Linked DNA regions of Canis lupus familiaris. The main gene of each other region encodes a partner of the protein of the gene in region 2 in a complex. Links are inferred from orthologs where the notes say so. Each region holds a gene or a part of one and is shown on either strand. Other genes may lie near its edges.

Evidence for each region.
Region 1: ARVCF (region 2) and HNRNPH2 share a complex: the UniProt entries of both Homo sapiens proteins name them as parts of the ribonucleoprotein complex. The link is inferred for Canis lupus familiaris from reciprocal best matches to the Homo sapiens genes ARVCF and HNRNPH2.

What each region holds. Positions count from the first base shown.
Region 1 is NC_049260.1:75,729,091-75,735,292, reverse strand, and holds the end of HNRNPH2 (heterogeneous nuclear ribonucleoprotein H2), read right to left. Parts: intron 4,721-6,202; exon of another isoform or gene 4,502-4,720; intron 3,691-4,501; 5' UTR 3,638-3,690; coding exon 2,288-3,637; 3' UTR 1,462-2,287; downstream 1-1,461. UniProt on the Homo sapiens protein: This protein is a component of the heterogeneous nuclear ribonucleoprotein (hnRNP) complexes which provide the substrate for the processing events that pre-mRNAs undergo before becoming functional, translatable mRNAs in the cytoplasm. Binds poly(RG).
Region 2 is NC_049247.1:29,463,843-29,470,400, reverse strand, and holds the start of ARVCF (armadillo repeat protein deleted in velo-cardio-facial syndrome), read right to left. Parts: upstream 4,038-6,558; 5' UTR 3,896-4,037; intron 1,652-3,895; exon of another isoform or gene 1,498-1,651; 5' UTR 1,373-1,497; intron 1-1,372. UniProt on the Homo sapiens protein: Contributes to the regulation of alternative splicing of pre-mRNAs.

The DNA.
Region 1 (6,202 bases), on a different chromosome or scaffold from region 2:
TACTTGTTACAGGAATGAATGTAGGGGAGGCAATCAGGAATCATGAAGAAGTCGTTCTTAGAGCTGCTCTTCTGGGCCTTTAGCCATTAGAGAGTGCCGCACAGGGTCACAAAATGTGGTCATGAGACCAGGAGCATCAGCAGATTTTTTTAAAGACTTTATTTATTTATTCATAAGACAGACACACACACACACACACATACACACACACACACACAGAGTAGAGACACAGGCAGAGGGAGAAGCAGGATCCCTGTGGGGAGCCCGACACAGGACTCTATCCCAGGACCCTGGAATCATGCCCTAAGCTGAAGGCAGATGCTCAACCACTGAGCCACCCAGGTGCCCCAGATTCTTAAACACAAACCCAGAATCACCAGATTTCAGAAACTCTAGGAGTGAGGCCCAGTAACCACTGTTTTTAGAAGCCCCACAGATGATTCTGGTGCACACTAAGGTATGCGAACCAATGGTTAAGAACAAGCTTTAAATGCCCTGAAAAACCTCATAGTGTTTAGAGACTATTAATAAATTCATGGAGGAGACTGAATTACTTATATAATAACATAGGCTTCTTTTTTAGAACATATAAAGGTGCCTTAGATCTTCCATATATGATTCAATGAAAGGAAGGGGATTTGTTTTTACTTTCTGGCTTTTGGAGAATGCTGTCTTGATAAAGTATAGTTTCCAGAGAAGCCCAATAGTCCTGTGGACATGGAGAGTTTAGAAACAGAATAATACTCTACCTCATTAAACAAATTAAAATAGCAACGGGATACCATTTTTCAACTAATAAATTAGCCAAGATCAAGAATAATATGCATCATGGTGGAGGGGGGCAGTGCAAAGAGTACCATAATGTGACAATGCAAATCAAAAGCCTTAAAAATGTGGGTACACTTGACTCAACAATCCCACTTTTAGGCATAGATCTTAAAAATAATGATACAGTGAACAATTTATGTATGATGGTACTAATGTGTGTTTATAAAAATTAAATTTAAATTTCAGTGGCAGGGGCACTGGGTGGCTCAGTGGGTTAAGTATCTGCTTTTGGCTCAGGTCATGACCTCAAGGTCCTGGGATCAAGCCCCATGTCCGGGACCCTCCTCAGTGTGGAGTCTTGCTTCTCCCTCTCCCTTTGCCTGCCATTCCACCCTGCTTGTTCTATCAAATAAATAAATAAAAATCTTAAAAAAATAAGTTTCAAGTGCAGAGGACTTGTATCAAAGAAATGGTTCATATGATGGAACATTTTTAAAAAATTAAGCTGTTGGGGCGCCTGGGTAGCTCAGTTAAATGTCTGCCTTCAGCTTAGGTCATGATCTCAGTGGCCCGGGATTGAGCCCTGCATCCAGCTCTCGGCTCAGCGGCAAATCTGCTTTTCCTTCTTTGATCTCTCTGCCTCTCTCTCTCTCAAATAAATAAAATTTTTAAAAGAAATCAAGCTGCACAAGATTTTTCATTTTTAAAAGGAAGATTTATTTAACAAGTTTCACTTAGTACAATACATCTAATGGAAATCACAATACAAGGAAAGGTTTAAATCAAAGTCTCAGAATCTCATACAAACAACATGACCAAACTCCTAAAGTATTGGTATTACATCTCAAAATTGTCCCAGATCTTTAAAAAAGTAAAAGTGTACACTCACGTGCCTTACAGGATATTAAACCAAAAAGCTAGAATTAACAAACATGCCAAATGTTTTCACTTTGAATCGTAGACACAGCTCCTATATTTGAGTTTTACAGAAAAGCATGTTTCTCAACATGCATCCAAAGTTTTCAAGGTATTGTGGTATAAGAGCAACATTTAACATAAGTGAAACTGCTTTAACCTAAATAATGCTTACTGCTTAGGTATACTCCTACAATGTAACTAACTTGAGGAAAGCTGAAAATTGTTTTAACAGTTATGGTCAATACTGAACGTTGTTATTACACCCTAGATGAATGTTTCAGTGTTCAAAATTACTGAGCTTAAAGTTGTAAAACCTTGACTTCCACTTTACAGTAAGCATGAATCACAAGCCTGTAATGCAAAACTGTTAAACTTAACTTTTGTTTTCTTAAAAAAAAAAAGGAAAGAATGAAAGAACGAAAGAACGAAAGAACGAAAGAAAGAAAGAAAGAAAGAAAGAAAGAGGAAGCTGACCAAGAGTGATCAGAATCAGTATTTCCCATTTACCAATCATACTGGATATACTAGACATCCCTCCCATTCTACAACTCCCATAAATGCAGAGATTTTATTTTTGTAATAGCTGTTTAGTATTGTTTACTTAAGCGAGGTTTGACTGATAGTCACTGGAGTTTTCCTGCAGCACTTGGTCATATCCACTCATACTGCTCTGACCACCGTACCCACCTCCATAACCCCCGCTTAGCTGCTGGCTGGCAGGGCCCCCATAACTAGATTGGTTGGATAAGCCCATTCCTCCCATCATTTGACTACCATATGCACCACCACTTGCCCCTGCTGTAGAATTCAAAAAGAGTTCTACATAGCTGTGATCATAAGCACCCCCACTTGTTCCTGCAGTAGAATTCAAGAAGAGCTCCACGTATCTGTGTTGCATATTAGCTTTGTCTTTTGCCATAGCTGCCACAGCATCTTCATGGGTAGCAAATTCAACATCTGCCTCACCAGTAACTCGGCCATCGGGTCCAATTTCAATGTGCACTCTCATGGGGTTAAGAGGTGAGAAAAAATTGTAAATATCATTCTCAGTGGCTCTGTAAGGTAATCCCCTCATGTGTACACAGTGCCCTGTGGTGCTCTGGAAACTGGACCCACCATCTCCATATCTATGGTCAGACATCCCTGAAAAACAGTAATTGAGGTCTCTTCCAAATCTATCAGACCCAAAGCCATAGCCATCATTATAGCCACCATAGTCATCATAGCCTCCATACCCTCCACCATAGGCACCACGCCTCATCCTTTCAAACCCAGTCCCTCTGCCAATACTATTATACCCTCTGCCAGCCCCTGGCCTATCATAAGGACCTGGCCGCTGCATAGCCATGAGCTTTCGCGGGGGGTCGTAGTGGGTTCGGACTTCAGCTCGGCTACTCTTGAAGATTTCAATGTACCTATGCCCTATTCTTTCCTTGTGTTTCTTTAAGGCCTTTTCAGCTATCTCCTGCGAAGCAAACTGCACAAAGGCCTCCCCCGTGCTCCGCCCCTGAAAGTCCACCGGCAGTGTCATCCCATTTGGCACAATTTCCAACCCTGAAAAGAACTGAACAATCTCTTCCTTGCTACAGCCAAATGGGAGTCCTCTAAGCCGGACGAAGCCATCGTTGGCAGTATCAGGACTATTCGGACCTGTATGCTTCAACACCCAATCCATTTCAACACTGTTGGACTTGAACACTTCAACGTATCTGTGTCCCATGGTTTCTCTGTCCTTCTTCAATGCCAATTTCACTTCATCTTCGGATTCAAGTTCGACAAACGCTTCACCACTTGGTCTGCCTTCTCTGGTATAGATGAAACGAATACCTGATGTGCCGTTTTGGATCTTGCAATCAGAGAAGAAGCGCATCACTTCATCAGCTGAGCAGGACCAGGGTAGGCCCCTGACCTTCACCACGAACCCCTCCCTGCCTTCCGTGCTCAGCATCATGATGATTGTTGGGCTCTTGGTGGCAAGCTTGGCTCAATGCAGTTTCAGTGTAGCTAAAAAAAAAATTAGAAGACTATTGTCATGGAAAAATGTTCACAACATAGTAAGAGAAAAAAGCAAACCAATAATATAAAACTCAAACGGATAGCTTTGTTCTAAAATATTCATATAAATAAAAAGACTGCACCAAATTTTTAATTCATTCATCCAAAGATTATTTACTCAATACCTATTATGTGTTGAATACCGTTAATAGTGGTTATTTCTGGGCAGTAGGCTTATGGGAACTTTTTTATTAAAGGAGTATTTTCTTTGGACATTTCTATGTTTTAGGTTTTCTATATTGAACATATATTAACATCATAGAACACAAAAGGCATAAAAAATCAGCAGCAAAATCACTGGAAGCTGTGAACAAATACGAGATAGCTATACCTGATTACATAAAAATGAAAAACTTCATTACATCAAAGGTAAGATTAAACAGAATTAAAAGACAATACACTTGAGAAGACACAACAGTACATTAATATCCTTATATAATGAACTCATGCCAATTAATAAAATCAAGGAAATATTAAGGCCTAAGCAATAAATGGGAAAAAGACATTAAGGGTGATCATACATTCATTTTATATTTTTCAACTGGCAAGTCCAGTACTTGGCTTTGGGATACAAGGATCAATAAACCAAGAAAGGGTTTATAGTCCTACAGGGGCATTATACATCTTTACTAAAGGCAAAAGGGCAAATAAACATTATTCCTGCTATGACAAAATTCTGTATAGCGTGAAAAGGTGGTATAAAACAGGGACTAGTTGGTCAATTCTAACAGTTGGCACAGAATTGTTTAAACAGACTCACCAGTTCAAGGATCCACAAATAAATTTTTAAAAATTACAATGGAGCATAAAATAGGATGAGCCCAGGCAAGAAGTTAAGGCTGGCAAGGTAGAGAGTAAGATCCCAAAGGCCTTACTTGATAGACAAACGTTAAGAGTCTTCTAAGGGTTTTAAAACAGAGGAGTGGGGTAGGGGAGTGAGGGTAAGGGAATGGGTAAGGGAGTGGGTAAGGGAGTGAGGGGAGGAAAGTGAGGTAACCAGAGCCTTTTCAAATAATAGATCACCCTGGCAACAGTGTGGAACTCAAACAGAGGGGGCTGGTGTGACACAAGCAGGATCAGTTATAACCCCAACCTCTTTTTGGCAATAAGGATTTCACCTAAGGCAACAGTTTTAAAAAAGAAAGGATAGCCCCTGGGTGGCTCAGTTGGTTAAGCAGCTGCCTTCGGCTCAGGTCCTGATCTCAGGGTCCCGGGGATTGAGTCAAGACATCCTGGAGCTCACTGCTTAGTGGGAAGTCTACTTCTCCCTCTCTCTCTGTTCCCCCTCCCCCCCACTTGTGTGTGGGCTCTCTTTCAAATAAATATTTTTAAAAATAAATAAATAAAAAAGAAAGGAAGGATGTAATCTACACATTGAAAGCAGTGGACTCTGCAGGACGTGATAACAGATTAAATACAGGAGGAATGCAGATGTGAGGATATAGGAGAGTTGTCTGAGAAATGTTCAAACTTCATCAATTATCAGAAATCGAAATTAAAACCAGAATTAATCAACATTTTTCACCTACCAAGACAGTGAAAATTAAACAGTAAGGATAAGCCAATGCTAATATTCAGGGTTCACAACCACTCCTAGAGGAGTGAAAGTAGATACAGTACTTCTGGAAAGCAATCTGGAAACATGTATCATGCCTTCTGATATAGTAAATCCATTTCAGATTATGTGCCCTAAAGAGATGATCTGAAATTCAGACAAAGATTTATGAAGCTATATATTCTTCAAAAGGTATTTTATTAAAGAGTATTACACAATTTTAAAATTACATAAATATTTAACAACATGAAGAACTACATATGCTATAATCTCATGAACCAGGATCACAGATGCTTTATAATCTCAACTATGTAAAAAAATATATATGTTTACATATTGTTTGACCCTGCTAAAATTCCTTCCGGAAACTGGTCAACAGAAATACTCACAAATGTTCACTGCTATTGCACTGTTACTAATGGCAGAAAATTAGAAACCTAACAATTCATCAATAGGTGAAAGGCTGAATAAATTACAGTATACTTTATCCTTAAAATGGAATCCTCCAGGCCTGAGTGGCTCAGTCAGTTAAGCATCTGCCTTTAGCTCAGGTCATGATCCCAGGGTCCTGGGGTTGAGTCGTGACATCAGGCTCCTTGGGAGGAGTCTGCTTCTTCCTCTCCTTCTCCCTCTACCTCTTCCCCCTGCTCGTGCTCTTTCTCTCACTCTCTAATACATAAAATCTTAAAAAAAGAAAATGGAATTCTATGCTGCATTTAAGAAAAAAGATCTGCCGTAATCTAGATTTCCAAAATGTATTAAATAGAATATGCAGAGTGTGATCCTATTTTAAAATATAAGCATGCAAGTATATATGTATGTAAATGCATAGAAGATCTGAAAGTATATAATACAAATTTGTTTTCTGAGAAAGCAGGAACTGGGGGAGGTAGACTGAAGTAGATT
Region 2 (6,558 bases):
TGGCCGGCGACGCGACCCTCCGCCCCGCCCCAGCCGAACGCGAATTTTCCCATTGGTCGGGAGACCCAGGGCGGCCCGGCAACCGGCGCCGATTGGGCGGGCGCTGGGAGACGCCGGCTTCCCATTGGGCCCCCGGGGTGTCCGTCCCGGCCGACCGCCGGCCCCTCCGTGGAGTGGCCGAGGCCCCGGCACCTGCCGGGACCGCTGCGGCGGCGGCCGGGCTCGGGGCCGCCCCCCTCTCGGCGGCGTTCGAGGACCTGCCCGGGCCCCCCGGCACCGAGCGGGGATTGGCGAGCCCCGCGCCCCTTCCCAGGACTCTGGCCTCGCTGCCTCCATCACCGCCCCTAGTTCGCAGGGATCCTTCTCCCGCGCCTGCTGTTCACCGGGCGCGCCGCGCCCTCCTGTCCGGATCTAATTGTGTTCTTCGCACACTCTGCGAGGGAGAGTTGTGCTACCTTCCCATTCTACAGATGGGAAATCGAAGCTCAGAAAGGTTCTCACTTGCTTTAGGTCACTCGGGTGCAAGCCTAGCCCGTCACCCCCGGGCCTGGGGGGTTCTCGCAGCAGGGGCGCGGCCCGACCTGGGCTCCGCGAGCCTGGATGGGGAGCCGTGTTTCTCGGGGCAGGAAGGTCCTTTCGGCGAACCAGAGGTTGTCCTCCTCCACCGGCCTGAATCCACGGACCCCTCGGCTCGGCCCACCCTGCAGGGCTGCCCTCCCCTCCTCTATCAAATCACCGCAGCTCAGGGTCCGGGAGGGGTGGAGGGAGGAGTTTGTGTGTTTGTCACCAGCCTCCTTCCTGGTGTCCCGTTTCCTCCACCCTACCTCTGGTCTTGGAGAAACACTGTAGGGGGCGCAACCACCTGAATGGAATTTAGCACAAGTCGCATTTCTCTGCCAGGTGGAGAGCCGACACCTGGTCCTTGGAGGGAAACGAAGCACACATATATGACCACAAATGGAACCATAATCCTTGGCCAGCTCCACTTAACTTTGTGGTGTGTGTGGTGGGGTACCAATAGGGGTGCTGCATGTTGGAGCTTATTTCAGGGGGTTCATGAGATGATGGCCCCTTGGCCAGGGACTCTGGCTTAGTTCTAAGCCTTTCCTGTCCTGGTTGCACCTGGAGATGACCAGATTCTCAGCCCATCATATTCCCCATGTCTACCCAGGGAGTCACAGACCCATGACAGCATTAATGGGGAGACCAGACATTCATGTCTTATCCACCCACATCAGGGAGCCAGAGTGTTCACCCATAAGTTGCTTCCTCTTAACAAAGAAAGTGAAGTGATGTAGGGCCAGAACTCACCACTGGTACCACCATTGGGTTCCCCCTGTGGTACCTAGCACACGTAGCAAATCCATCCTACCCTTTTAGAACCAGTCAGCCACTGCTGGTCAATTGAAGTTGGGCACTGGAGGTGAGAGCCATCTGACACTCTGGCATAGCGATGTTGCTTGTATCTCTGGGAAGATGGAGTGCAGGTGTCCTTCCCTGGAACACAGGAGTCTCTGTGAGCAAGTTAGCTCTTGTCTTATGGAGCTGCACCATTGGTGACATTCTGAGCCAGCTGCTGTGTGGGCTGGAGGGATTTTCTTCCTTCCATTAGTCAAACTGTCCCTACGGATTTCTCCAGGGGCATTGGGCCCTGGTCCTCCTGGAGCGCTATTCTCATAGTGAGCTTGTGATTCAGCATCAACCCTTCCCCACACACTTGCTGATGGTGGCAGGAGGGGCTGGACAGAGCTCTGGTGAGAGAGCAAAAGGGAGAATCATGCTCCAAAATTGTCCTAGGTGGGGGCTGCCTCCCCGCCTCCCGCTCCAGGCAGGATTCCGTCCCCCAAGCTGGGTCACCAGCTATATACAGAGGAGTAGGATGGACAGTGTGGGTTCCAAGGAACTCAAGGCCATTCTCAGGCAGCAGGCCTACCATAACCCAGGCTGCAGGCAGGGGTCAGAAACAGTCAAAAAACAGGATGGAGAGTCCCTACCATGTGACCACTGGCACAGGGACCAGTACCCTAGGCTCCTCCCTCTCCCCCCACCTCCACCTAGCTCTGTGGGGACATCCTGGGGACATGTGAGCAAAGCTATAGGGGGAAAAAGGTTTCAGATGGAGGTCAAGAAGAACTTCTCAACAGTGGCAAATGCTTAGAGACCAAAAAGGGTGACTATAAGGTAGTGAGCTCCCCAACTAAGGATGTGTGAACTCTTTGCATCCCTAATACCCGAGAGTTCAGCTTCCCGCCCAAACCCATCTTATCCTATCTTATCTGCTCCCTAGCACTGAATGTTGTCAACTGGAGTCAGTGGAGACAGATCAGAGTGAGTACCTGACATGGCTCCATCTAGATGGGAAGAGTGTAGCTGGAAGGGGGCTGGCCCAGAGCTATGTGCTTTCGTGGCAGACCAGGATTTGAACCTCTGTCCAACCCATGCATGAGCTCATCTCTCTTTGTTGATAACAGGAAAGCACCTCCCCTGAGGCGTGTGGCCCAGTGGTTTGGGGGCAGAGTACTCTGCAACTGCTGCCTTGTGCCCCAGGGTGAGGTCACACAGCCTCGGCCCCAAGTCTTGCTTATCTAACTTTATTGCCTCTTGGGTGGATTGCAAAGTCTGGCTGCTCAGAGGGAAATCACTGGTACCAGCTCAGGAGGATTCTGCTGCTGCATATGGGGAGGGAGGACCATGCATCAGGCTAGGTTGACCACTTGCTGGCCATGAATCCTTGGACATCTGGAGTCTTCGGTGTCCATGTCTGTAAAGGGCTTCTGTTGGGTTCCAGGAGGAGCACAGAAAAGATGGCAAGAGAGTAGGGTGGAATGGGCATTTGGGTGCATCAGGCAGGTTTGGATTCAATACTTGCCTTTTTCTATCACCAGTCAGGCCCCTTCCCTCTCTAAACCCCAGTCTTCCACAGGACATCAGTGCTCTGAGTCAGGAACAGGACAGGAGGGCTTCACACAGGACTGTGGAGCTAATCCAGCCACTGCCATTTGCCATCTTTTTTAAAAAATGACATGGCTGCTCTGAACTTCAGCCTTTGTATATGTAAAATGGGGGGGAATAATAGCTGTGGACAGGGACCCTGGGTTTAGAGTGCTTAGCACACTGTTACTATTCTTAGCATAACTGTCATCCTTGTCATAGTTTGCTGAGCGCCCACTTGGGAGTAGGCCCTGGGCCCTTGTCCCCTGACTCTCCACTCTCCCTGCATTCAGGCCCCAGACACAGCCTAGAGGTCTTTGAAGGCAGGGAGCGCAGTGAATGCCTCTCTCCTGTTGGGAGGGCCCCAGTCAGTGCCCCTTCCTGCCCTCTTGCTCACTCATTACAGCTGAGGGTGGTCCAATTCTTCATCCTAGGGCCTGGACCTGCAGAACAGCCTCTAAGTGAGCTCAAAGGCCAGAGTGGCTGGGTGGGTCTGGAGTGCCTGGTCCAGGGTCTTTCCTGAGTGTGCCAGGATTCCGGGGTAGGGTGGGTGGTGGTGGAAGTGGTGGTGGAGTGGCGGTGCAAAGGCTAGAGTGGCTGAGTGGGTCTGGAGTGCCTGGTCCAGGGTCTTTCCTGAGTGTGCCAGGATTCCGGGGTAGGGTGGGTGGTGGTGGAAGTGGTGGTGGAGTGGCGGTGCAAAGGCCAGAGTGGCTGGGTGGGTCTGGAGTGCCCGGTCCAGGGTCTTTCCTGTGTGCGCTAGGAATTGCGGGGCTGGGGTGGAGGCGGTGCAAAGGCCAGAATGGCAGAGGCAAAACCCAACTGGGGGCCTTAAAGAAAAGGTAGGGATGGCCAGGTCTGGAGCCAGTACAGGGTGTGGCCCAGGACCCGGTCTGAGGGGCGGGTCCGGAAGTGGGCATCCCCCTATCGCTCTCAGCGAAGACCGCCAGGTGGTTTGGTGACCTACCGCCCCCGGAGTTCAGGCTGCCGCCCTAACGGGTCCGCGAAGCCATGCCCTTGGGGCGGCCGCAAGGGGCAGCGACCTCGCGCAGGCGTCCTCAGGGCTGGGGAGCTGGGAAAGCCGCGGGGGTCACGAGACCCCCAGACGCCCGCGCAGCCCGAGGCTTGGCGCAGCCCCGGGGGCGGGGCGCCGGGAGGGCTGCAGCCCCCGAGCGACAGCGCGCGCAGCCAACGGCGCTTGGGGTCGCGGCGTGCGGCCCCGCCCCTGGCGGCGCAGTCCAATGGCGAGCGCTCAAGGGGCGGAGGCGGGGCCTGGGCGGGGGCGGGGGCGGGGCCTGGGCGGCGGCGGGGGCGCGCGGGCGCGGCACCCGGAAGTCGGCGGCGGCGGAGGCGGTGAGTGTGCGGTCGGCGGCCGGGCCGGCGGACTCCCTCCCGGGAGGGCCGGCCCGGGACCGGGGGCGCGGGGTCCGGGGGCGCGGGCGGGGAGGGGAGGGGCAGGACCGCACCTCCCGCCCTGCCTGGTTCCCTTTCCCGAGGCGTGGAGTGGAAATCCGACGAGAGACCCCACACGGCCCCCGACGCAGCCCCATGGGTTCCTGGAAGGCGTGTCCAGTGACCCCGCCAGGATGGGAAGCGGGGCCACGGGCAGGCCGGGCGGGCCTCGCTGGGGAGGCAGCCTGGCGGGGCTGGGAGCTGCGCGGTCGCTGCGGGGTGGGTGGGCTACGGCCTCAGACGGTTCTGAAGCCCTGAGTCACGGTGCCGCCTCCCCGGGGCCGGTGTCCGGGCCGCCGGCTGACCGCCGAGGTCTGAGTAGGCAAGTGCTGGCTCACGCCTTTTCTGGGGTGGCTCCGTTGGTCAGGGCATCGAAGGGGGACTGGGCAGGGGACCCCTCCCCGACCCCAGCGTGGCAGGTGCTTCACGGCCTCCCTAGAGTGAGCCTCCTGCCCTTGGACCAGTCCCCGAGCCTTTTCCTCCAGCAGGGGTATCACATGCTGGGCCCAGGCCTGGCCTGGCGTCCTGTTCCCGACCTGCTGACTGCTGTTTGGGCTCAGAGCTCTCTTCCATGAGGCAGTGGTGACGCCATGGCAGCTATAAGGGATACCTGCAGCTGGTAGCACTTTGGAAATGCTTTCTCGAACTTGCTTGTTAAACCTCTGGGGAACCTTTTTGGGCAAACGTTCATTGGTCAGATGCTGTCCACAGCTAAGAACACTCCAGCTGAGGGGCAGGTGGTGTTCCCAAGGTCACTCAGAGCCAGGGCCAGGTCCCAGTGCCTCTGTTCCACCTGGGCCACTGTCTCAGGATCCTGGGGTGACCTGTCTGATGGGGCGGAGGCAGGAGGACACAGCAGCGGTTCTGTCCCCTGTCTCCAGGATCCTAGTGCTCCCGTGTGGTGGGTGGGCTGCCTTGGTGCCTCCACCTTAGCCGGCCTTTGACCACTAGCCTCAGTCCTGCGGCTTCGTGTTACTGGCATGTGCACAGGCTTCCGGCCACTCAGACTGGGCTGCTGCCACTGCCTGCGCTGGTATGTAGTGACCGCAGCCTTTCCTGAATGAAGGAAACGGGCTGTCAATTCTGTTTTGGCCCCTCAGCCCCTAAACTGTTGTTATGGCCTCATGCTTCTTTTGTGACCTCTTTTTGTGGGCTTTTGGATTCCATTTCACCGTGGATGTAACTCTGTGTGGTATCTTGGGGTCTCATTCCCGTGCCTGCTTCTGCATCAGAGGGTGAGCTCTCTGTAGGCACCTCTGCTGCCTGCCCACAGAAGATGTGTGCTTGTTACTTCTGAGGACTTCTGTGGGGAAACGAGGTGCCTCCAGAGCATGTCTGGAGGTAAATGGCCCATGGCAGGGAGACTGGAGGGCTTTTAGAAGTGGTTCCACACTTGTCATTGTTGCTCCAGATGTTCAGGGACTGGGTCCATCCTTTGACAACACGTCAGTGAGTGAGGGCATCACCGCAGAATCTGGCATTTGTTGGTCCAGACCATAGGGTTGGGTGATGGCCTCTGCGGAAACAAGGTCACCCCAGGTCACCCCAGGAAGCAGTCTTCCCAGGTTATCAGTGTAGTTCCCCCCCTTAACTTTCTTTTTTAGATTTGCAAAAATGATACATGCACACTTAAAAGTAAAAAAAAAAAAAGGCTGTCCACCATCTCTTGGTGGCTACTGACACTCAGGGTACATCTTGGTGGGAGTACTCCATCGTCCTTTATTGAGCACAAAGGCAGCGGGGGCCACTGTGAGGCTGGGCTGGCCCCTGGCTTGTGGGGAAGCCAGGAAAGGCTGAGGTAGAGGGGTGGCCCTGTGTCCAGAGCTTGATGTAATGCTCCTTCTGCCCCTCATTTGTGAGGGACAGCGACACTTGGTGTGGAGTTGAATTAGTGCTCCCAAAACATCATGGAGCTCTCAGAAGAGAGTACCCCGTAGAAAATTTGTCATGGTGAAATGCCACTTAGCCAAAATGACAAAACATAGATTGTAGAATCCTCAATCTTGAGCTGGGAGGAGGGTGGGGTGTTGCAGTGGGCTGGCTGCTCAGAATATTTACAGACGTCAGGGCTTTCTCAGCCAAGGCCCCCGAACAGCACAGCGACACTGTGTTCCCATGTGTGTTTACCTCCTCTGCTGGCAGCCGCTGGGAGAACATTACGCATCATGCGAAAAGAGC